Elephas maximus indicus: one gene and its partners. The protein of the gene in region 1 purifies or fractionates together with the protein of each later gene. This does not show direct contact. Links are inferred from orthologs where the notes say so. Each region holds a gene or a part of one and is shown on either strand. Other genes may lie near its edges.

What was found.
Region 2: the proteins of SF3B6 (region 1) and CCDC97 purify together in Homo sapiens (affinity purification with mass spectrometry; 3 studies listed by BioGRID and IntAct, counting the BioPlex papers as one, with this or other methods). This does not show direct contact. The link is inferred for Elephas maximus indicus from reciprocal best matches to the Homo sapiens genes SF3B6 and CCDC97.
Region 3: the proteins of SF3B6 (region 1) and PHF5A purify together in Homo sapiens (affinity purification with mass spectrometry; 4 studies listed by BioGRID and IntAct, with this or other methods). This does not show direct contact. The link is inferred for Elephas maximus indicus from reciprocal best matches to the Homo sapiens genes SF3B6 and PHF5A.

The regions. Positions count from the first base shown.
Region 1 is NC_064830.1:41,616,400-41,623,351, forward strand, and holds the start of SF3B6 (splicing factor 3B subunit 6), read right to left. Parts: upstream 3,063-6,952; 5' UTR 2,855-3,062; coding exon 2,825-2,854; intron 197-2,824; coding exon 78-196; intron 1-77.
Region 2 is NC_064829.1:109,873,472-109,881,355, forward strand, and holds the start of CCDC97 (coiled-coil domain-containing protein 97), read right to left. Parts: upstream 3,100-7,884; 5' UTR 2,995-3,099; coding exon 2,949-2,994; intron 1,145-2,948; coding exon 689-1,144; intron 1-688. Other genes in the region: HNRNPUL1 (heterogeneous nuclear ribonucleoprotein U-like protein 1), read right to left, coding at 7,235-7,351. UniProt on the Homo sapiens protein: May play a role pre-mRNA splicing through the association with the splicing factor SF3B complex which is involved in branch-site recognition.
Region 3 is NC_064822.1:185,615,879-185,622,836, forward strand, and holds the start of PHF5A (PHD finger-like domain-containing protein 5A), read right to left. Parts: upstream 3,062-6,958; 5' UTR 2,979-3,061; exon of another isoform or gene 2,870-2,978; 5' UTR 2,786-2,869; coding exon 2,728-2,785; intron 2,722-2,727; exon of another isoform or gene 2,679-2,721; coding exon of another isoform or gene 2,627-2,678; intron 2,270-2,626; coding exon 2,189-2,269; intron 1,480-2,188; coding exon 1,313-1,479; intron 1-1,312.

The DNA of each region.
Region 1 (6,952 bases):
TTAGTGATAATTCTGAGATTACAGCTTGTGCAACTGTTTTCTTTAAGTCACATTTTAAAAATATCAGTAAGACTCACACTCTGATTTGACGAATAGGTCCATATTTTCCAAATATATCATACATTTCTTCAGCTGTGATTTTGTATGGCAAATTTCTTATATACAAAATCCGATTTACTTCAGGCGGAAGTCGAATCTAAAATGAGAAATATATGTTGTCGTTATAATCAGGCAGGAGTGCTACCATTTAGAAAAAATTCTAATACATAATAGTGAAAAGCCAAGAGTAAGAATTATTATCTGATGTAAATGACATGCTCTTCAGAAAAGCAACTGGATGATGGTTCCAGAGAAGACCATTAGTAGGAACTAATACGGGCCTGCGATAAAACAAGACTTTTGATCACTATAGTTAAATACGGACTTTCAACCACATCTAAAAGTCCTTAACACCTCCGACTACATGTGGGAAAGAAAGAAAGGAGCTGTTCCTGTTTGCTAGACAATAAAATCCCCACTGATGTGTGTTCTATGGTCTTCTCAGGGGCTTGTATCACTGATGTCTTCTCTTATGAATTTACAACCTTTCCCTCACCACTAGCTTCTTCTTGTCCTCCCAATAAGCAGTTGCTCACATCCTGCCCATCTTTTCACAAAACAAACAATTTATCTAGATCCCTCTTCCTTCAACCAACAATATTTACTAAGCACCTTCTTATACACCAGGTTAGGTATTGGGAATACATAGTGAAAATATATACAAGGGGCTCCCTGCGGGCTTTTAACCGCATTGCTCAATCCTCATCATACTTAGCCTGAGACTTCTAACACCGTTGATTAGTTCCTTCTTGCAACAATCCATTTTCTTGGTTTTCTCCTAACACTCTAGCTAGGTCTTCTCAGCCTTCTTTACCATTAAAATATGCTCTTGCACAGGGCTGTATCTTTAGAGTTCTTTTCTTGATCCTTTGTATACGCCCCTTAACTCTTTACATTCTCTCTGACTGGCCTCTTAACCACACCCGTGGTTTCCACAGTAAGTTGATGACCCTGGAATACGTAACTCCAGTCTAGATCTCACTCTTATGCTCCTGATTAACATAAATTAGATACTGAACATTAATTTACTCAATAGCTATTCAGTTATTTTTATATTAAAAGACAGTTATAAATAGTAATGACAACTGGTGAACAAGTACAATAAAGTTTTAGAGACCATAATTCAAGGTTAAGTTCAAATAGACAATCAATGCTGCCAGACAACCGAAATATATTTCTCTGGTAAATTTGCTTTCTTAGTTTGTAAGACACTATATCAAAAATATCTTCTGTCTTCAACCTTATTATCACCACTCCAACACCTTTGTTGGGCTGTATCCTTTTCCCTGCCCGTCCAAGGAGATGACCCTGGCTCTTACTTCTTGGACAAAATGGATATGACCAAGTGGTAAGTACCTTATAGTCCTATCACTAAACCTACCAATCTACATTCATCCATATCCACCTATGTTCCCTCTCTCTATACTTGGAAGAAAGGCCTGGCCACCTACTTCCAAAGGATCAAAGCCAGTGAAAACGCTACAGGGGGCAGTTCTACTCTGAAATGCATAGGGTCACCCTGAATCAAAATCAACACGAAGGCAATTAGTTTGGTTTTTTGGGTTGTTACTATGCCAACCCTTCATCTACTCAAAAGCAGATGAGTACATCTACACGACTCCTGAAATCAACACATCTTTTTGTACATTATCGGCTTCTTCCACTTTACCAGATCATTCCCATTGGAATGATCACACAATACACTTTATATTGCTCAACTTTTTTTTTTTAATCACTAAACTCAATTTCCTACTCCTTGTTTACATGAAAACTCATGAAAAGAGATTTCCTCAACTTCCATCATCTTTTCATCCCACTACAACCAAGTTTTCATCCACCATTACACTGAAACAACTCATCAGTGTCACCAAAATTTTCCATCTCACCATAGCCATATCCAGAGCCCTGGTGGAGCAGTAGTTAAAGAACTTGGCTGCTATCCAAAAGGTCAGCATTTCAAATCCACCAGGCACCCTTTGGAATCCTATTGGGTTGCTATGAATTGGGATTGACTCGATGGCAACGGGCTTGGTTTTCGGTTAATAGCCCTATCCAGGGTTCAATTACCTGTCATCATATTATGCGTCTCAGCACCACTATCTCCTTCTTGAGACATTTTTCTTTAAGTTTCCATAACATCTCACTCTCTAATGCTAGAATGTAAGCACCTATAGGACAAGGATTTTTTGTTTTATTCACTGCTGAATAAAAGTGATTACCTAGATTAGTAGCTGGCACGTAGGAGGTGCAATAAATGTAACTAAGGAATTGTTCCCTCCCTGGCACACAGCAAGTGCTCAATAAATACTGTTGAATCAATAAGTTAATGAAGGACCCAAAAAACCCTATGATCTGAAGAGAATCTTAAGTTTTAGTCGCCTGTGGACCATTATTTATTGGGGACTCGTCTATGCTATCAATTTTTAGGCTGAGGAGGAGATTCTGATGCCAGGCCCTAAATACAGGTCAAGCAACAAATTCTGTAGGGCTAGCACTGTCACTAACACTAAGATACTTTAGGAACTTTCAAAAGGGGTGTGGGCGGAATTGTGGCTCAATGAGCATACCCCTGAGGACCGGGACAGCGTGGAATCCCCACGGATAGGACAGGAAAATTTGGGTTTCCCCGCCCAGGGGACACAGGAGTAAGCATGCTCTGTGCACGCCTCTAAGAAAGTCAAACAGCGAAGTCCGCCCCTCCTCCGCAGAAGGCCCCGCTACTCACGTTCGCCCTCTTGGCCGCTTGCATCGCCATCTTGGCAGGCTGATGAAGTCACCGTAGTTAAGACTGGAATCCTCCGGACACCTCTGGAGCTCGCTCTACTTCGAGCGCAACAGTGTCAAACGCAGGCCATCAACAACCAGCCTCCACCGGAAGCTGCTGAAACAACGCTAGAAAATCGCCGTTTCACGTCGAGACGTGCTGACGTACTACCGGTCCTCTTCCGAGAAGACTCCGGGAGCAAAGCGAGCCTGAGATAAATGTGAGGCCGGAAGGTGAAAGAAGACAGTCGAAGATGCTTCCGGGTCCTGGGCCGGAAAGGGCGGGGCCTCAGCTCAAGAAGGGAAGGTGTTCCGGTCGGGGGGGGGACCTAAGCAGTGCGAGCTGACCGGAGGTGGCGGGGCACGGGGATGGCGGTGAGGGGTGATGCGGAGACTGGTTGGGTCGAGGAAAGGGGACCGAGTTTGGCGAGAAGCTCCGGGCTGCGGGACGTGGGTAGCCAGGTGCAGGAGAACTCGTGGATGAGCCTGGGCTTCTGGCAGTGCGCGAGACGGAGTTCACAGGTTCTGGCGGGTAGTGTCGAGGCTGACTGTGTAACCTAGTTCCGGACCTCCAGCCCTCCGTAGTGCCTTCCCCAAGTTGAGCCTCGGCGGGACTGGCCTCTCAGAGCTTTAGTGAGGGTAACGAGCGCCCAGGGGCAGTCTCTGAATTGCCCCTGCCCCCCGCCCCTGCCCCGCCAATTCCAGCCCCCAGGGGCAATCTCTGAATTGCGCCCCCCCCCCCCCAATTTCAAGATGAACAGATAGCGACGATGCGTCAGCGGAAACGCTTTTCCCGGTCCTTTGTCCGGCTGTCTCAGGCTCCTTCATGTTTGTAGCGCCCAGGGGTGCCTTGTCTGATGCCCTCTTGGACTTGCGTCTGGGGGCAAGTGCCCTCTCTGCGTCTCCCCCCCCCCCCACCACACCTCTGTGGCCTCTTCCTGTAATCCCCCTGTCAGTCATCCCAGCTCCCACCTCACCCGGCCAGTCAGCGCTAGTTTGCGAGCTGGGGTCGCCAGTGAGCACACCACACTTCAACTCCACCCTCTTTGTTTCTTAACGCCAGCTTAACATGGGTCAGTTGAAAAGGTCGAGAAGGGGCAGTGTTTTAGGGTGGGTCTGGGAATAGCACCCGAACTCTTGCCTGTGAATTTTCTCCAAGTTTACTCTGAGAAGGCCTAGGGTGGAGTGTCCTGTACCCTGTGCCTTCACTGGGGCAGCTTCATGACGATTTTGCCCATGTTCTTGTCAGTCTCCGTGTACACATGGGCCTCTTGGATTTCCATCAACAGGTAGACTCTATCCAGAAGTGGCAATAGACGTTGGGGGTCCTTCGTGGAGAAGTGAGGCAGAGCTCGTTCCGTGGAAGCCTTCACCAGCATTTGCTTATACTAAGATATGGAAAAGGAATCCGTCAGCCTGGACTGAGACCTTACCCTGCCGCTTCCCATACTTTTTGATCTCTCTGAAACGGGTACACACCTGAAAAAGCACACAGGGGTACCCTCTTCACTTCCTAGCGTGTGTGCGCCGGCCCCCAAATGCGTAACCTCTGTTCTGTACCAGATAAGGACTGAAGCTCCGAGTGAAATACTACTGTCAATAATGGCCATTGACCCGAAACCCCGGTGGCATAGCCGTTAAGTGCTACGGCTGCTAACCATAAGGGTCAGCAGTCCTTGGAAACTCTATAGGGCAGTTATACTCTTTCCTATAGGATCATTATGAGTCGGAATCGACTTGATGGCACCGGGTTTGGTTTTGGTTTTGGGGTCAATAATGGCCAGAGGGCTGTTTCTAAATAAAAGCTTCAAGCGAGAGGCAGCCACAGATAGGACTTATATAGGCTCTGTGCAAAAGGGATGTTTGAGCTCCTTTCCTCCAACGGTTGTGGAACCCATATTGGGAAACTTTCCCGAAGTTGGTGCCTGCTAGAATGCCACACAGACTTCTGTAACATGTATTACTTTCTTAGTACACTGAGGAGAGTGCCTTTGGAAACAAAATCTTGGAACTATTAGAAGTACTTCCTAATATGCTAAATACTTTGTTCATTTTGTTAGAAAGTTTATGTATGAAGCATTAGCCACCCTTTTTCCCAGATGTTGAGGTTTCTGTTGACCAACCCTAATTGGTTCTCTGAAATCAGGGTACATATATACCCAGGGGGGCAGGTTTCTACATAAACTCCCTAACCTAAGATGTGACAAAGCTTCCTTTCTCACACTTTTATGTAAATGAAACCATGTGTTTTCTTTCACACATCACGTACCTATTTGTCTATATTTTAGCAGACTGGTGATTAGGCTTCCTCCTTTAAAAAGTAGCTTGGATAACAGAGGCCCATTGATGTTAGCTACTCGCATCAGACCATGGAGAACCATCAACAGCCAGGCAGTTGACATTCTTCTCCCAGTGAGATCCGCCTACACAGTCTAGAATAAGGTTGGCTCCAGCACGTTTCACATGAAACAGATTTGTAATGCCAGTCAGACCCAGAAAACTTGGTGTAAAATAAGACTCCATGGTATATTTATGGGTTCTTAGGTGCCATGGAGTTGGTTCCAACTCACAGCCACCCTAAATTTGTGGATCCAACCCACCACTGCCTTTGAGTTGATTCCGATTCATAGCGACCATATAGGACGGAGTAGAACTGCCCCATAGAGTTTCCAAGGAGCGCCTGGTGGATTTGAAAGTTTGTGGATATATGGGTATAAATTAAGTACAGGTGCAAGTGGTAAATTTATAGGTTGGAACTAGCAACATTGCTCATGGAAACATTGTTATAAATGTAGTTTAAGTAGCTGAACTCTATTATGGCATGTGTGAATAGTTCATCTTTTATGATCCCCTAGTCATAAGAGAGCAGCAAGAAGGAAACGAGCTGAAACCATGACTTGGTGTCTCCTGTTACCACCACTTAAGTACAGTGTGCACTGGCACCCAGGTATAAGTGAGAACAGAACAGGGGAGGTCTACCCAGGCTACAGGGCAGGTTAGTTGTTCATATCTAAGTTACAAAGTATCTGCACTGGATTTTCTACTCATATGAAAAACTGAAAGGGATGAGCCAAAAACATACATGTTTGGCTTTGTAATGCAGACGCATGCACAACCCTATTACCCCAACCCTACTAGCTCCAGATCCAAACAGTGCCTCAAGCCTGGTATTAACTCACTATGGAGTGGCTGGTTGGGAAGAAGAGGTTTTGGAAAATTCCAAGTCAACTCTTGATAATTATCCAGCTTCTAAAACGTGTATGAATTATATCATTTGCAGGAATGCATATGGAAATGATCTCAGTCCTAAATACCAACTGCCTGTCCCCAGTGGTCAAACCCCAGAGTACTAGAGTTTGACCAGGCCAGCTGTTGTGCATTTAGCAGAGTCCTGGCAACCTTGAAGCTGGTGAGGATTTATTTAATCATCTCTGACATTCCTGCTGAGCTGCAGAAGCAGTTGTTTACCTTTGGTGAATTTCAGTGTTGCTTCACAAAAGTCCTCTTCTTTGTAATCGAATCCAGCAGCTGCTCCAAGCTTTTCTGCCATTCGAAGCTTGTGCTGTGAGCCAGCCATGACCAGAAGAATAGCTCCAGCCATCTGGGTGAGTTGGATGGCAGCTGTGCCCACACCACTTGACCCCACATGGATTAGCACAAACTGTCTGGCCTGAACATTTCCTATGACAGTAAGTACAGGAATAATTCTCTTTATTTTGCAACTGCTACACATTCACACATTCCCCACACAGGCACACTCTACCATGATGACCTGGCCCCAGGACCACCAAATGCCGAATCTCTTAAACCCTCTTAACTTCCTTTTTGTCTATATAGGCAGTTCTTTTTTGTTGTATTGCCTCTATTCAAAGTGGAAAACAACCTTTTAAAACAGTTATTAGATGCTATATCCATAATCTCTGTTTTACCTATGAAATAACGCCAAAATGCACATCTCTGCTGTATACGTCAACAAGAGTGAATAACCACCATTCATTCTTCCTGTGACCTCCTCTAGCTGCTTTCACGCACCCATTTATCTCCTTACCACCACAAGGAGCACAGCCAGCCACCAGGCTCCTCCTAATAT
Region 2 (7,884 bases), on another chromosome or scaffold:
TTCATTTCCCTCCTTTCTTTGTCTTTGTTCCCTTGCCTGTCCTTGTGTCTCATTCTTTCTGTCTCTACAGCTTGTGCCTCTTCCCTCACTAGAGAGTTCAATTGTTCTCGTCTTTTAGCTTGGGTTGAGGGTCTTTAAGATGCTTTAAATTAAGTCAAGGTCAAAAAGGTATCAGTGTTTTCCTTTACTGTTTTCACATGCTGTGTCTTGTTCAAGAATGATCTGGTATCCCCAGGGTCATGATCATACTCCCCTTGGTTTCTTTTAATACCTCTGTGTATGCAGTGAGGGAGGGATCTCTTTGTCTTTATGGACAATCAATTATCACAGTGCTGTGCACTGGATAAACCCTCCTTTACCCACTGATATGAAATGCCACTTCTGCCAGCCACTAAGTTCTGGCCCTTCCTCACTGTCTGTGCCTTTCTCCTCCCTTGGGCCCGTCTGTCTGTCTCTCTTACTGCACATCTCTATCTCAGTCTGTCCCCATCTCTCTGTCTGGAACTCATCCTCCACGATCAGTGTCTGTATTTCTGCTCTTGCATCCTTGTTTCTCACTACTTCTACCCCACTCGGCCTCAGTTTCCCATTCAGCTGTCTCTGCTTCAGCCTCCCTCTCCATCTCTGCCTCAGTCTCCCCTCCCGCATGCCCCTGCCTCCCAACTTGGCCCCCTGCCCCCCCCCCCACCTTGGATGAGCTCCCGCAGCGCAGCGTAGCGCCGGTTGCGCAGACGGGTGCGCAGGGCGCGGGGCCGGGCAGTGCCCTGTCGGGCCACCTCCGCACAGTAGAAGTCTGCACGGTGGTCGCCGCGCAAGTGGCCGAAGCAGGCCAGGTGCTCCTCGCGGAGGCCCGTGCGAAAGCGTTCTAGGAACACCAGCGGCTTCTCGTGGTACAGCCGGCCCAGGATGGCCACCTTCTCCCGCTCAGTCAGGTCAGGCTCGCCCCGCTGCTGGCTGCACACGGGCAGGCGGCTGGCGGCCACGGCACGCAGCATGGCGCTCACCGCTGGGCTCTCGGCCCCGGGGGGGTCGTTGTCCAGAGCCCCCGGTGCTTCCTCTGAGGCGTCCACCTTGTCTTGGGGCCTGGGTGGGACCGGTGTCCAGCTCAGCTCCCCCCAGTGGCTGGGACTAGGCTCCGTGCAGCCTGTTGGCAGGCGGAGATTTGTCAGTCCAGGGGTGGCAGTAGGGAAAGAGGAAGGGACTAGTGCTCAGTCCCTCCCTCTTCACATTTACTGAGCACCTACTATACTAAAAGCACTGTCTTAGGCCCAAGAGAGACCACATTGAACAGGTCAGGTAAAATCTCCTGCCTTCAAGAAGCTGACCTTTAGTGGGGCACACAATTAACAACATAATTATATAATAATTATAATTATTGAAAACAGTGTGTTAGGCAGTTTCAAGAACCATACAGAGAAATCAAAAGTGAAAGGGAAGGGAGTAGGGGGAAGGCTGCGATTTTGAATGGGACAGTCAGAGAAGGCCTTCCCAAAATGTGATATTTGTAGGGCCCTGAAGGTGTCCAGGGACTCTGCCACAGGGTTTCTAGGGGAAGAGTGCTCCAGGCGGAGGGAACAGCAAACACAAAGCGAGGCGGACTGTGGCTGGCATGTCTACTTGGTCCCTTACCACCTCACTCGTTGATTCACTCTAATGTTTGCCTTTTTACTTGTTCACAAACTCATGAATACATTCATTAATCTGTTTACTCACTCACTCATTCCCTCGCTCTCTTCTTACTCATTCACACACTGACCCAACCACTCTACGCCAAGCTCTGAGCTGAGAACCCAAGAGATGAAGCCAATCTACCCCTTGCCCTCAGGGAGAATCCCGTCTGATGAGGGAAACCGGCAAGGTTAAAAAGACAGTACAGACAAAGATAAGAGAAAAGCTCAGTGGTGGGCAAATCTTGGGGAGAGCTGTTTCCTGCAAATGGTAGGAAATGGAGCAAGACTGCAGCAAGCAGGAAATAAGTGAAGGCAGAAAAGTACAGACAACTCCTGTAGGTGGCTTGGCAGGGGAACGGAGGAGTGAAGGGGTGATAGTTACAGGTGTGATGGGAGGGTTTTAATCGCTGAGGCAAGAGAAGACTGAGCTGGACCAGGGCAGGAGTGCTGGAGAGTGGTGGGGGTTAGACAGACACTCAGAAAGCAGAGTGGACAAGCCATGGGGCTGAAGGGCTGGGCAGGGAGAGGCGCATCCAGGATGAGGTCCAGGGCTCCGGCCTGGGCACGGTCAGATTATCCCTGAGACTGGGACATGGAAGAGGAGCAGGTCTGGGGGAAGATGCTGAGCCCAGTTTGGGACACAGAAGGTGTGATGGCCCTAGGGACATCCAAGGGGAGGTGTCTCAAAGACTGTGGGGGTAATGAAAGGTTGGGGAGGGGCTTCGTAGAGGTGAAGGATGACAAGAGGGCTCCTTGAACAGATGGGAAGAATATATCCCCCTGAAGGAGACTGTAATAGGCTAAAATAAAGAGACCCTAAAAGGGATCCATGTTCTAATCCTAAGTATCTGCGAATGTCAGCTTATACAGCCAAAAAAAGAGTCTTTGCAGATGTGATTAAGGATCTCGATATGGGGCTATTATCCCGGATTACGTGGAGGTACTGTGAGAAGGGTTAGCCTGGGGCAGTGGGAGAGTTAGCCCAAGACACGGAAGAGGTTTAAATTAACCTGAGAGCCTGGTGAGTAAACAGATTAGCCCAGGATATGGAAAGGGTTGGCTTTGAACTGGAACTGGGAAGAGGTTAATTTGGGGGGTGGGTGGTTAGGAAGTCAGCCTGCCGAGAGAGGGGTTAACCTGGACAACTGCAGAAAGACTCAGATAAGGCGGAGGGCAGGTGTTCCCCTATAAAGAGTCCTCCTTCACGTTCCTGGGGAATCATCTCCCAGTGACACCGCGGCCGCGCCTCCCTCAGCCTCCGCGCGGCCGGGGCCTCACCCTCATCGGGTTCCCTCGCCGCCGCCGCGGTCGCCACAGCCTCCATCCTGAGTCTCTACAATTTGCCAACCGCCACGACAGGTTCCACAATCCGATCCCAGCCCCACGCCCTCAGCAGCCACTTCCGGTTGAGCACGCTCCCGGGGCCGGGTGCCCCGCTGCGCCCGGGCACCAAGGTTCCGGGCCGAAGGTGGGCCTATCTATGCGCATGCGTACCTCCCTCAGCCCGCCTCAGCCAGGCAGAAAAGGGACGCTGGGTCAGAGAAGCCACTCAGCCTCTCCTATCTGAACTGCCACAAAATTGAAACATCAGGAGGGATCTGGACCACTATTCATCTTGCTCAGTGCGGTGACTCCAGCGCCCAGCAGAGGCCTGCGTGGAATAGCCCAGCATGCCTCATGTTGGGGTGGATGGTTAAATGCGCGCCTTCCAGGGCCTGTGCTCTGGTTTAGACGCCAGTCTCTCCCCTTCATTTCTTCACCACCTCAGGGAATATTTACTAAGCCTCAACTCCTACTTCTGTCATCACACCAGTCACTGGCTGGCATGAGATGGGTGGTGAGATAAGAGGTAGAACTTCCCACTTTATGGTCCTCAGACATGGAGATCTTCAGATATGGAGGAGGGCAACTGTGGTCCTGATTTATTCTATGGGACGGGTAGGAGTCCTCCAGGCCTGGCAAACAGAAGGGTCAGGAAACGCTTATTTCTTGAAGGAGGAGACCTCGGAGCTGAGACTTGAAGGATGAGCAGAAATTAGAGTAAAAGACAGGAGATAAGGGTTTCAGCCAGTGGATGGGCAAGGCAAAGACCTAGACGGATGGCAGGCATGGATAGTCTGGGAGCCGCAAAGACTTCACTTACGGTCAAGGAATAGGAAAGTTCTCACGTGAAGGCCGTGACTGGGAGGCAGGGGATTTGAAAACGTTGTGAGTCTTTATTTTCCAAGGTTTACAGCTTTTTGAGATCCCTAAGGAGAAATTTAACACCCTCCCCCCACAGAAAACAAAAATCCTCACAACTGGACCAATGAGCAACATCATGATAAACAGAGAAAAGACTGAAGTTGTCAAGAATTTCATTTTACTTGGATCCACAGTCAACAGCCATGGAAGCAGCAGTCAAGAAATCAGACGATGCATTGCATTGGGAATATCTGCTGCAAAGGACCTCTTTAAAGTGTTGAAAAGTAAAGATGTCACCTTGAAGACTAAAGTGTGCCTGACCCAAGCCATGGTATTTTCAATCGCATCATATGCATGTGAAAGCTGGACAATGAATAAGGAAGAACTGACGCCTTTGAATTGTGGTGTTGGCGAAGAATATTGAATATACCATGGACTGCCAAAAGAACGAACAAATCTGTCTTGGAAGAAGTACAGCCAGAATGCTCCTTAGAAGCAAGGATGGTGAGACTGGGTCTCACATACTTCGGACCTGTTGTCAGGAGGGATCAGTCCCTGGAGGACATCATGCTTGGCAGAGTACGGGGTCAGTGGAACAGAGAAAGACCCTCAACAAGGTGGATTGACACGGTGTGGCTGCAACAATGAGCTCAAGCATAACGTTGTGAGGATAGCGCAGGACCGGGCAGTGTTTTGTTCTGTTGAGCATAGGGCCGCTATGAGGAGCTGACTCAATGGCACCTGATAACTCCCCCACACTCCAGAAAAGCCACTGATCTAAAGTTCCAAGGGGGAGCAACAAGAGGTGAAGCCAGTGAGGTCACCAGGGCCCACCCAGGCAAGACTCATAAACAGCATTAAGTAGCTTGCGCTCTTTCATCCTGACGGGCAGTGGGCAAGGAGGGGCCGTGGATCGCGGTAAGGGCGACCTGTGAAGAGCCTGCTGCAGTAATTCAGAGACTGGTTGAGAGCAGAGGAGGCACTTCTGGCTTTACTGGCCCATAATCTGGAGATGTGGAGAACTCACCACAGGAGGGCTAGGGATTGTATTTAGGCGTGTTATCAGGAGTAGGCAGCAGAGGGCGCGGTTGACCCACACATGGACTGGCAAGGAAAGGAATTTCCCAGACTAGGGGAACCCTGGTGGCTAGTGGTAAAGAGCTTGGCTGCTAACCAAAAGGTCAGCAGTTCAAATCCACCAGCTGCCCCTTGGAAACCCATGGGGCAATTCTACTGTGTTCTATAGTCACTATGAGTTAGAACTGACTGGACAGCACCTAACAATAGCAGAACCTGAGGCCTGCTGGCAGGCTCTCCCTCAAGCAGCGGAAAGGTACACAAGGATCTCTCATCAGCCTTGACCACCAGTCTTGGCCCTCTCTCATGTTCAGATGCCCCGCCCTGGCCCTCCAGACTAATTGGCTTCCCTCCTCCCGTTTGTAGCCTGTGTCCCTTTCTGTAGGGCTGGACCAGAGAGGATAGGGGCTGACCAGGCCACCCCTGTGCCCCCGCACTGTCCCATCACAGGCTGGTAACACAGCACCTGCTCAGTAAATAAATGTGGTGCTAATGAAAAGGTTGGTGCGCTTTTACCCTAGTTCACTGAATTTTCACTATCAATGCCTACAGAAGCCCTTCTTTCACCACCCCTCTTCAGAATTCCTCACCTCTGACCACTTGGGGCTGCCACTGTTTGGTGCCAGGCTCATCCTGCCTCTGGACTGGGAGCCCCATGAGGGCAGGGTCCCGGACTGCTTTGGTCATGCTGCGTCCCCAGCACTGCCCAGAACAGATGACGCAGAGCAGGTGCCTGGCACATTCTGGCTGAATGATGGATGCTCCCTGGGCTCCTAACTGGCCTGGACCACAGGTGGGCAGCCAGTAACTGCAGAGACCAGGCCTGGGGTGAATGTTCAGTTAACACCTGGTGATGCCCCTGAACAACCCAGCCCTGGTTTCCTCCCAACCACCCCACCTCTCCCTTGGCCTAGGGACCTGCTTTACACCTTCCACTCAAAAATTTCCTGCCGGTTTTGGAGTGTCAATTGACTGTGAGGGGTAAAGGACCCAAGAACCACTTTAAAAACCAACTAGCGGATTTTAAACTGGGGGCGCCAAGAAGCTAGAGGGGGCGTCCCCAGCACTAAAAACAGGGCCAGGCACACGAAGCCCTCAGTAATTACAGGTTGGTTTAATGAATGAGTAAATAAATGCCCCTTGAAAAGGTCCCCATCCTGGTTAAATGCCAAGTGTGGTAACACTTTAGGGTTCCATCCCTGCGTCCTTCCTGCTAGGAGATGCCATGTCATTTATTGAAAGAAAACAAAACGAAACAAAACAGGGCAAACACATTTCTTAATAAGTGCAGTTTGTTAAAATCCCGTTAAAACATATGGGACAAGGGAAAGTAAAAATAATTGAAGCGGATCACTGTAGGAAAAACTCCCAGGTCTGGGACCTAGAGACCTCTGAGGGAGGCGGTGGGAGAGCTTAACGTTCTGAGGGAAGGAGCCCTCCACCTCCCTTTCCCCCTCGCCCGTTTCGTCCCACCAGAAACTACCAGGACGCCCAGAATAAAAGGTTTCAAGTTCAATAGTCACACTCTCTCCAAATACAAAAAAAGCAGTTACAATTCAACTTGACACAGAAGCTTGTGTGCAAAGTTATGGGGAACTGAGACATTGTATAAAAAGTTAGGTTAAAGGTGATTTTGTGGTTTGTTGTGTGTTTTGTTTTGTTTCGAGGGTGTGGCTCTTCCTCGGTCACCTGAACTCAGCAAAGAGATGGTTATCTTGATGAAATACCAACAGCCGACCCACAGTAAAAACTGACAGATTCTAAAAAATAGGGGGCGGGGGGGAAAGCATAATTACAAAAAAAAATAAGGTCACTGCTTCCTCCCTCTGCATTTTGCTTTTTTAAACTCATGGTTTTTTTTTTTTTTAAAGTTTTTGATTTTTTTTTTAATCCTGAAAAGCAGACAGTAAAACAGCTTCTGGAAGAATTTACAACAAACTGCATGAGGGTCTGGGAAGCTGAGGGGCTGGAGGGTGGGCACGACTGGATGGGGGGGGTCCTCCCCTCAGTCACTGGAGCCTCACTGTGTGATCAAGGGAGGAGGGGAGGGTTCTCTAGTGAAAAAGGAAGGAGGAGGAGGAGGGAGGAGGCGGGGGTCGACAGAAAATAAAAGGTCATTGTTGCCTGTTTGAATTCAGAGAGAAAAGCCTGGCCCTGTGTAGGGAAGAAGCCCCTTGGCAGGGAGGCAGTGGGCTGGAGGGAGGCAGCCCTGGGGTGGCCCCATCCCCCAGCACCACGGGACCCGGCAGGGGCAGAGGAGGGGCCGAGGTGGGCGCTGGTGGAGGGGCCTCTGGGCGCCCTGGCTACTGTGTGCTCGTGCCGCCCTGCGTGCTCCCGGAGTAGCTCCCGTAGTCGTAGTTCCCGTAGTACGGCGGCCACTGGCCCTGGTTCTGGTAGTACTGGTTCCACTGCTGGGCATACTGGGGAGACAGAAACCAACAGGACGGGGGTCAGACCCCAACACCAGGCTGTCCTTTCTCCAGACCCACCCTCACCTAGAAGAGATGGGTACAGTGATGGCAGCTAACAGCTGGGTCCCCTGACGGACAGAGGAATCAAGGATAAGGGACTGGCCTGATGCCACGTGGGCAGGCAGTTAGGGACCGCAGCCCAGGTGTCCTGGCTTGCTAACCTATGTCCTTCCAGGCACAGCCAGATGGCATGTTCAAAATATTCACCAACAGGTATGTGGCCCGAGCAGCAGCCAATAGGAATGGCACTGGCTGCAGTGCTGAAGCAGGCTTGTGGGCCCTCTCTGCCAGACCCTACACAGCCATGCAGAGGGGCTGCAACACCGGTTACTCAGTACACAGCTCCGAAGCACTGTACTGCGGAGCACCAGCACCAAGGCCAGCAGGCTGCCATCTTTTTAGGGATAAATAGACTCAAGCCTGGGAACACACATCCAGGCAGGGGCCCCTGAAGGTTTCTCTACCCAGTCAGCGTCCAGTCT
Region 3 (6,958 bases), on another chromosome or scaffold:
AAAAGACAACATGGTGTAATTGTGACACCACAAGGTTTAGTCAGACAGCCTGGGCTTGCCACTTATTAGCTGGGTGGGGGACTGTAAAATGGGAATGATAATAATGACACCCATTTGACATAGTGTGTGGAATAAGGGCAATAACATTAATAAAGTACCCACTGTAAGTTTACCAAAACATGAAGAATATTTACCTTTTGTCTTATCCTACACTAGGTAACCAAACCAAAAAAACATCTCATTGCTGTCGAGTCAATTCTGACCCATAGTGACCCCACAGGACAGAGCAGACCTGCCCCATAGGGTTTCCAAGGCTGTAAATCTTTACAGAAGCAGACTGTCTTATCTTTCTCCCATGGAGTGGCTGGTGGATTCCAACCGCCAACCTTCTGGTTAGCAGCCAAGCACTTAACCACTGTGCCACAAGGGTTCCTACTAGGTAAGCAGGTCCCCTCTATTAGTCCAATGGGACTGTAACATACTTCCTTTTAAAGTGTCCTAAGAACAGATGATGTGGAACATATGCAGAATAGATGTAGAATAGTGGTGGAATTTACCTTTAACAGACGTGGAATAGACGATGTGCATGGATGATGCAGAACAAACACGGAATAGATGTGGAAAATATAAATTAAAAAAGTGTTCTGAGAAAACAAGTTAACTGACTCACGGGTTCCCCCACAACCCAGGGGGCCTGCTGCCAGTACTAATCTAAAGAAAAACGGTAAAATTTGTCTTTGGTGCTGATCTATAAGCCCTCTCTCCTGCCATTTGGCTCAGGGAGTTGAACATTAGTAACTAGCCACTGCGACTACACAATGCCAGGGAACAAAAATATCATGAGGCAGAACCACAATCAATGCTGCAACATTAAACCAAAGGCATTCTTTAGCTGCTTAAAGCTGAAACCAGCTCAAGTTGTCCCAAACTCAACTTTGTCACCATATCCACCCAAACAGCCCTTAAGGATAGCAGAAGCAAGAGATATGCTGAGTGGCTTTTATACAATATGGCCTGTGTTAGGACTTACAAATGCAGGATGTTGTTTCTGGGTAACAACCACCACAGGGAGACATCAAAGGAATAGAGACAGGGCTCTCCAAATTGCAGGTGTTGACAAAGAGTTGCTTCTCTGCACTTCTCTTGCCTTTTATTGAGCTACACCCAGTTTGGCTCACAGAGCTTGAAAAAATGATAACTTAGGTGATTAGCTGAACATAGTCATCTCTGCAGACCATAAAAATTTGCTGTGGATGGCAAAGCGTTACTAAATAAAAGGAAGGGTCAGGTAGAAAGCTTTGTGAACACTCACATCCTTCTCCTGGATGGTGCATTCCTTACAGTAATAGGCATCGGAGACTCCGGGGCCTCCACAGATCACACAGCGCCCTTGGTAAGAGCCATAATTACACTCATCACATATGCGCACCAGGGTACAGGGACGCACATAGGAGTCACAGATCACACACTTGCCATCGCCTGTGAAGAAAAGTGAATGGAGTTATGCTCACCTGCAAGTACTTCCTCTCCCAAGTGCTTTGCCCTCCTTCAGCTATGGGTGGTGTACTAGTTTCTTTTGGACAGTGAGTTTAGGGCCCTTCCTCTACTTTGCCATTACCCAGTATCCATCTCAATCCCCTTAACACTTACAAAACATTAACATACATAAAGAGCATAGCACAGCCCCTTGTAGATAAACCAAAAAGACCAAACCCACTACTGCCAAGTTGATTACCACTCGTGGTGACCTTATAGGACAGAACAGTCACAATCCCTTCCTGAAGCCCCTCTCAGGTCTGGGGCAACCTGAGATAGTGCTTCTCAGAATCCTGACTCATAGTGTTTCCAAGGAGCAGCTGGTGGATTCGAACTACCAACTTTTGGTAGATGATAGCTCTACATAACTGCAGCAAAAAGACCTGTGTATGTTAGGTTGGGGGTCATGCTACTCTGGCGATTCTTCGTATCTCAAGCTAGAGATTTCTGCAAAACCTAAATGCACTGTTTAAAATGTGCCAGTCAGAGTGGGGAGGTGGAAAGGGTCTATGGTTGCTGCCTGGGATCCCGTGTCCACATGCTTCCAGTCCCATCTACTCAAAGTCCTCTTTGTGGCACCGCTGGAAATACCCTTTCCCTGACTCCACTGAGTGGGAGGGGTGGGGGGGCTGGGAAGACGCGTTCCACTCACATTTTTCACACAGTCTTCCGATGGCTGCAAGAGCAAAGAAGATATAGAGCACCATTAGAATTAGGGTTCTGACGAAGAGGGCTGGAGTGGGGACAATGACAGGGACTACAGTGAACTCTAACGGACAGTCATCTTATCCTCGTAGACCTCCATCCGAACCAAACCTACAGTCACGATCCCTTCTTGGGATCAGGGGCAACCTGCGACAGCCGTTCTCGGAACCCTGTCCCAGGGACCCCACCCTTGCTGCCCACCTCTGGCTCACAGCCCGCGCGCCCCGCTCTTTCCCTCCCGCGCGCTCCTACACTACCCCGCGACCGTGAGGTGGGAAACGTGGCGGCTCCGAGACAAAGCCCTAGAGAAGTGATGAGAACTCCCAACCTCCCAGCGCCTAACACCACCACCACCCAGACAGCCGGGGGCAGGCCGCCGCCTCACCAACTCCAGCCTGCTTGCGGCAAAAAATCAAGTCCGGGTGGTGTTTAGCCATAGCTCCCACTCAAACTTGCCACCGGAAGCTTCCGGAACTTCCGCCCGACCTTTGACCCGCATTGTTCCTGCCTCCTGGTCGTTATGACTGGTCCTGGAGACTTCCATCAGGCACTAAGCCGCGCTCCCCCTCGCGAGATCAAAGCCACTACGTTCCAAGAAGAGCTTCTGTGGTTGCTGCGGAAGTAAGTCCTGGCAGGAGCGCGAAAGTCCTAAAATGAATACCTTTCCCAGATTTTGATGGAAGATATAGCCGAAATTTGTTTTTCGATAAAACATCTTTGTACAGGCATTTAATTACCGTAACTGTTTTTACGAGCGTTTTCTCTTCTCACGTGCCCGTTCCTAACACTGCGGCTCTGCCGTCTACGTTCGCTGGGCTCGGGCGCCTTTAGGGAGGCCCCGCCCCACCGCGCTGTGTTCTCGTCAGGCCACGCCCCCTGCCTAAGTCTTTAAAGTTGTCGTCTGGCACGTCACTTTCACGCGACCTCATCTTTGTCAGTGCACAAAATGGCGCCTTACAGCCTACTAGTGACCCGGCTGCAGGTGAGCGAGCTCAGGGCCCTCAGGGTTCACGGGGGCGGGGTGCCTCCTGCTGTGCTTGCGGCCGTGGGCGAGGCGGGCCCGACCTCGGGCAGACTTTTCGTGTAGTGTCCCGGCCGTGGGCCCAGTGTCTGTGCCCGCCTCTCTGACGCCCGAGGTCAAGGCGTCCCAGGCTCTGTTAGCTGCCGCAGCCCTTTCCCCGCCCCCGGTAAAGTATAAGCACAAGCAGCGGCGGCCGAATGGAGAGTGCAGGCTCCTCTTTCTCCTTCCTGAGGACCGCACTGCCAGTTCTCGTAGGGTTTCTTTCCGTTCCTCAAGGTGAGGACAAGGTGACTGGGGGGGGGGGTGCGGTCGTTGTAGAGCCCGTTAGGCCCAGTGCCTGAAGGGCTCACTTCCTATCTCAGTCTCAGAGACTTCCTAGCCAGTTCGCCCAGTACACTATTCCGTCCTTTGAGGACCCTGCGGAACTCACAGCCAAGAGTGCGCGGGGGATCTTTCTTGCCCGACGTAGTAAATAATAGTGACAATAGCAGTATCTCACGTTTGCCCGTGATTTCAAGACTTAATTCCTCATCATATCATTTGAGTCATGTCTAGCGAGATGATTATTCTCATTTTGATAGGTGGCGAAAGTGCTAGGAAGTAGGCAAAAGTTTCAAGAGTGTCACTGTCACTGTAGTGCTGTGTCCTGACATCTGCCCTCCTACCCCTCTGGTCTAATTCCACGTCAGCCAGCCCTCACAGACTGAGAAAAGGCGTGATGCTGGACTTAACATTTGTATTTTGAAGAATAATAGAATGGAGTATTTTGTGCTCACAATTAGTTCCTTTTACAGTAACATATGGGAGGGTAATGAGGCTCAACAGTTTGACCTTGACTCTCCCTTTGTGAACCGTCTAGAAAGTTGACTGTAACTGTGACTGCCAAATGTTTTTTTACCCCTACCTAACTTGACAATCCTTAAAAAAAAAAAAAAAGCCCAGTTACCTCAAGTCGATTCTGACTCATAGCGACCCTGTAGGACAGAGTAGAACTGTCCCATAGGGTTTCCAAGGAGCTGTTGGTGGATTCCAGCTACGGACCTTTTGGTTAGTAGCCAAATGCTTAACCGCTGTGCCACTAGGGCCCCTGACAATCTTTAGGAAGGTGTTATACTCAAAGGTTCAATGTCAGGGGAGTATTTTGTTAATAAAAATAAAGGAAGAAAGCACTCGTAGACATTCTCTGCAACCTTTTATGTTTAACTTTGTGAATACTTTTGAATCAAGTGGCGCAACTTTGATTATAGAATTGGAAAGTTGTGTGCTGTACTTTCAGGAAGCGTTGCGGTACTAGAAGTTATTTTTCATCACATTGGTTAAGTTTAGACTGTGGTTTAAGTATTATAAAATACTTCTCACAGTTTGGGCAAAAGCAAGGGATATGCACTTCATTATCTCTTAAGGTCTTTTGATTCTCTAGGTTGATGATGTGAAAATAGTTGTACAACTCCTGTTTTACCATGATGTATTGCAGTCAGGCAAGATTACTTGATAAGATAAATGATTACAAATTTATTGAGCATGGAAAAGAGTTTTTAAAAATGGCATGAGGATGGCGTCTGACCTCCAGCCCCACAAGGGGGAAGGAGAACCAAGATCAACAGTGCAAGGCTAGAGGTGGAGGCCAGACAAGCCTGCTCTATCATCTTTAACAATTCGGACACCAGTCATCCTTCGCACAGCGCTCTCTACTTCTTTCCTGGGTTCTATAATTCATTGCAGTGGCCACACAGAACTCACAGACCATACTCAGGACTAAGGAGTTTATCAGGAGTTGGAATCAACTCCCTGGCAGCTGGTTAGGGAAGTAACAGTTACAATTCAGGCTCCAGAACACTCAGGATACAGTTTTTCCCATAGGACAGCTTCTCCCCAGCTGTGGTTGCAGGCTCACCTCTTCTTGACCCTCGGCCTCTCCCCAAAGGCACTCAGCTTTCTCTCTCAGTGGCCCACATGCTGTCTCCTGCTGCCACATCTCTGCTGCCACTGCTTCTCACCATCTTCAGGGTTACAGCTCGCTCTCCTGCTTCCAGGAGCTTCTCAGTGCAGGGATCCCGGCCAAAGGACCTGCTCTCCACTCCTGGCTGTCCTTCCTTGAAGGTGTTAAGATCCTCCTCCCTGCTCTGGAGTTGGGTCTCTTTTAAGGCAAAACTGACCAGTCCTCTTGGTGGGCCACAATTACCCTATCACACAGTCCTACCCAGTCACCTGGGTAGGAGTTATAAGACCATGGCTAGAAAGGCAACACCCAAAAGTAATTAATTGCACTGCAGAGGTATATTAACAATGTTTTAGAACTGAAAGCAATCTTGGAAAACATGAATGTTAACCTTGTGTAGAAAGTTCATGTTCTACCCTGGCCCTGTGACCTTGAACAAGTTACTTCCTGAATCCCAGTTTTATCATCTGTCATTTGAGGATGACCTTCACTGAAGAAACATTTACTGAGTACCTGATAATCTTCTTTTCAGATTGTCTATAAAGTGATGAGCAAGTAGAATGTATTTGTTTACGATCGTCATAGAATCCAAGACCTTGAGAAACCTGAGTGACTTCCAGTAATAGTCCAGTTACTCTATGGCAGAACCAGGATTAAAATCCAGGTCGCCTTGTCCATTCAGCTAAAATGAATGAGCAGAATTTGCATCTGTGTTATTCCACTTTGCATTGTACCACCCTGCCTCCTGTAGCCAGGCTGTCTTAAGTAATAGCTAGCTAACATCATTCTCTGAGAACCTTGTGAATTTACCTCTTTTGTGTTGAGCTACACTTGAGAGGTGATGCTTTCTACCTAAGTTACCATGTCTTGGCAGAACCCTGTCCATGCATTCAATTCATTCCTTCTTCATTCACCACACATTTATTGAGCTCCCACTGCTTGCTGCAGATTCAGTGGTGAGCCAAGCAGACAATGCCTGTTCTCATGGAGCTTCCACTATATTCTAATATACCCTACAGCAGAGGGTCTCGGAGATGTTTCTCAGCCAAAATATTATTTTTCTGCCCTTGGCTAGACCAAAGGTGAATGTAGATAATAGAATGATGACTAACTACTACCACTCAGAGTAGCTAACATTTAGCTTACTGTTTGCCATTAATCTCACATGACCTTGCGAGATAAGGCAGACCTGTTAGCTTTGTTTTACAGATGAAGAAATTGCGGATTAGAGAGGAAGCATAGTGTAATGATAGTGAAGAGCATGGACTGGCATCAGGCTGCCTGGATTAGAACCCTGGCTGTAATGTTCACTAGCTATGACCTTGGCATATTCCTTTACCTCTTTGTGACTGTTTCCTTGCCTGTAAGATATGGATAATAATAGTACATCTATCTTATTTAATTCTCAATGATCATATTATGGCATCCCTGGGTGGTGTAGACGGTAAATGTACTTGGTTGCTAACTGAAAGGTTGGAGGTTGAAATTTACTGAGAGGCTCCTTGGAAGAAGGGCCTGACAATCTACTCCTGAAAAATCGGCCCTTGAAGGCCCTATGGAGCACACTCTGACAGATACAGGGTCACCATGAGTCAAAATTGACTCAACAGCAACTGTTTTTTTTTAATCATATTGTTGTTACAGATTAATTAGAATCCTGCATGGTTCCTAGCAAGTGGTATATGCTTGTTATCTTGCCTAGGGCCTTATCACTAGTTGCTAGCAGATGTGATTCGAATCTGCACCTTTCTGGTTCC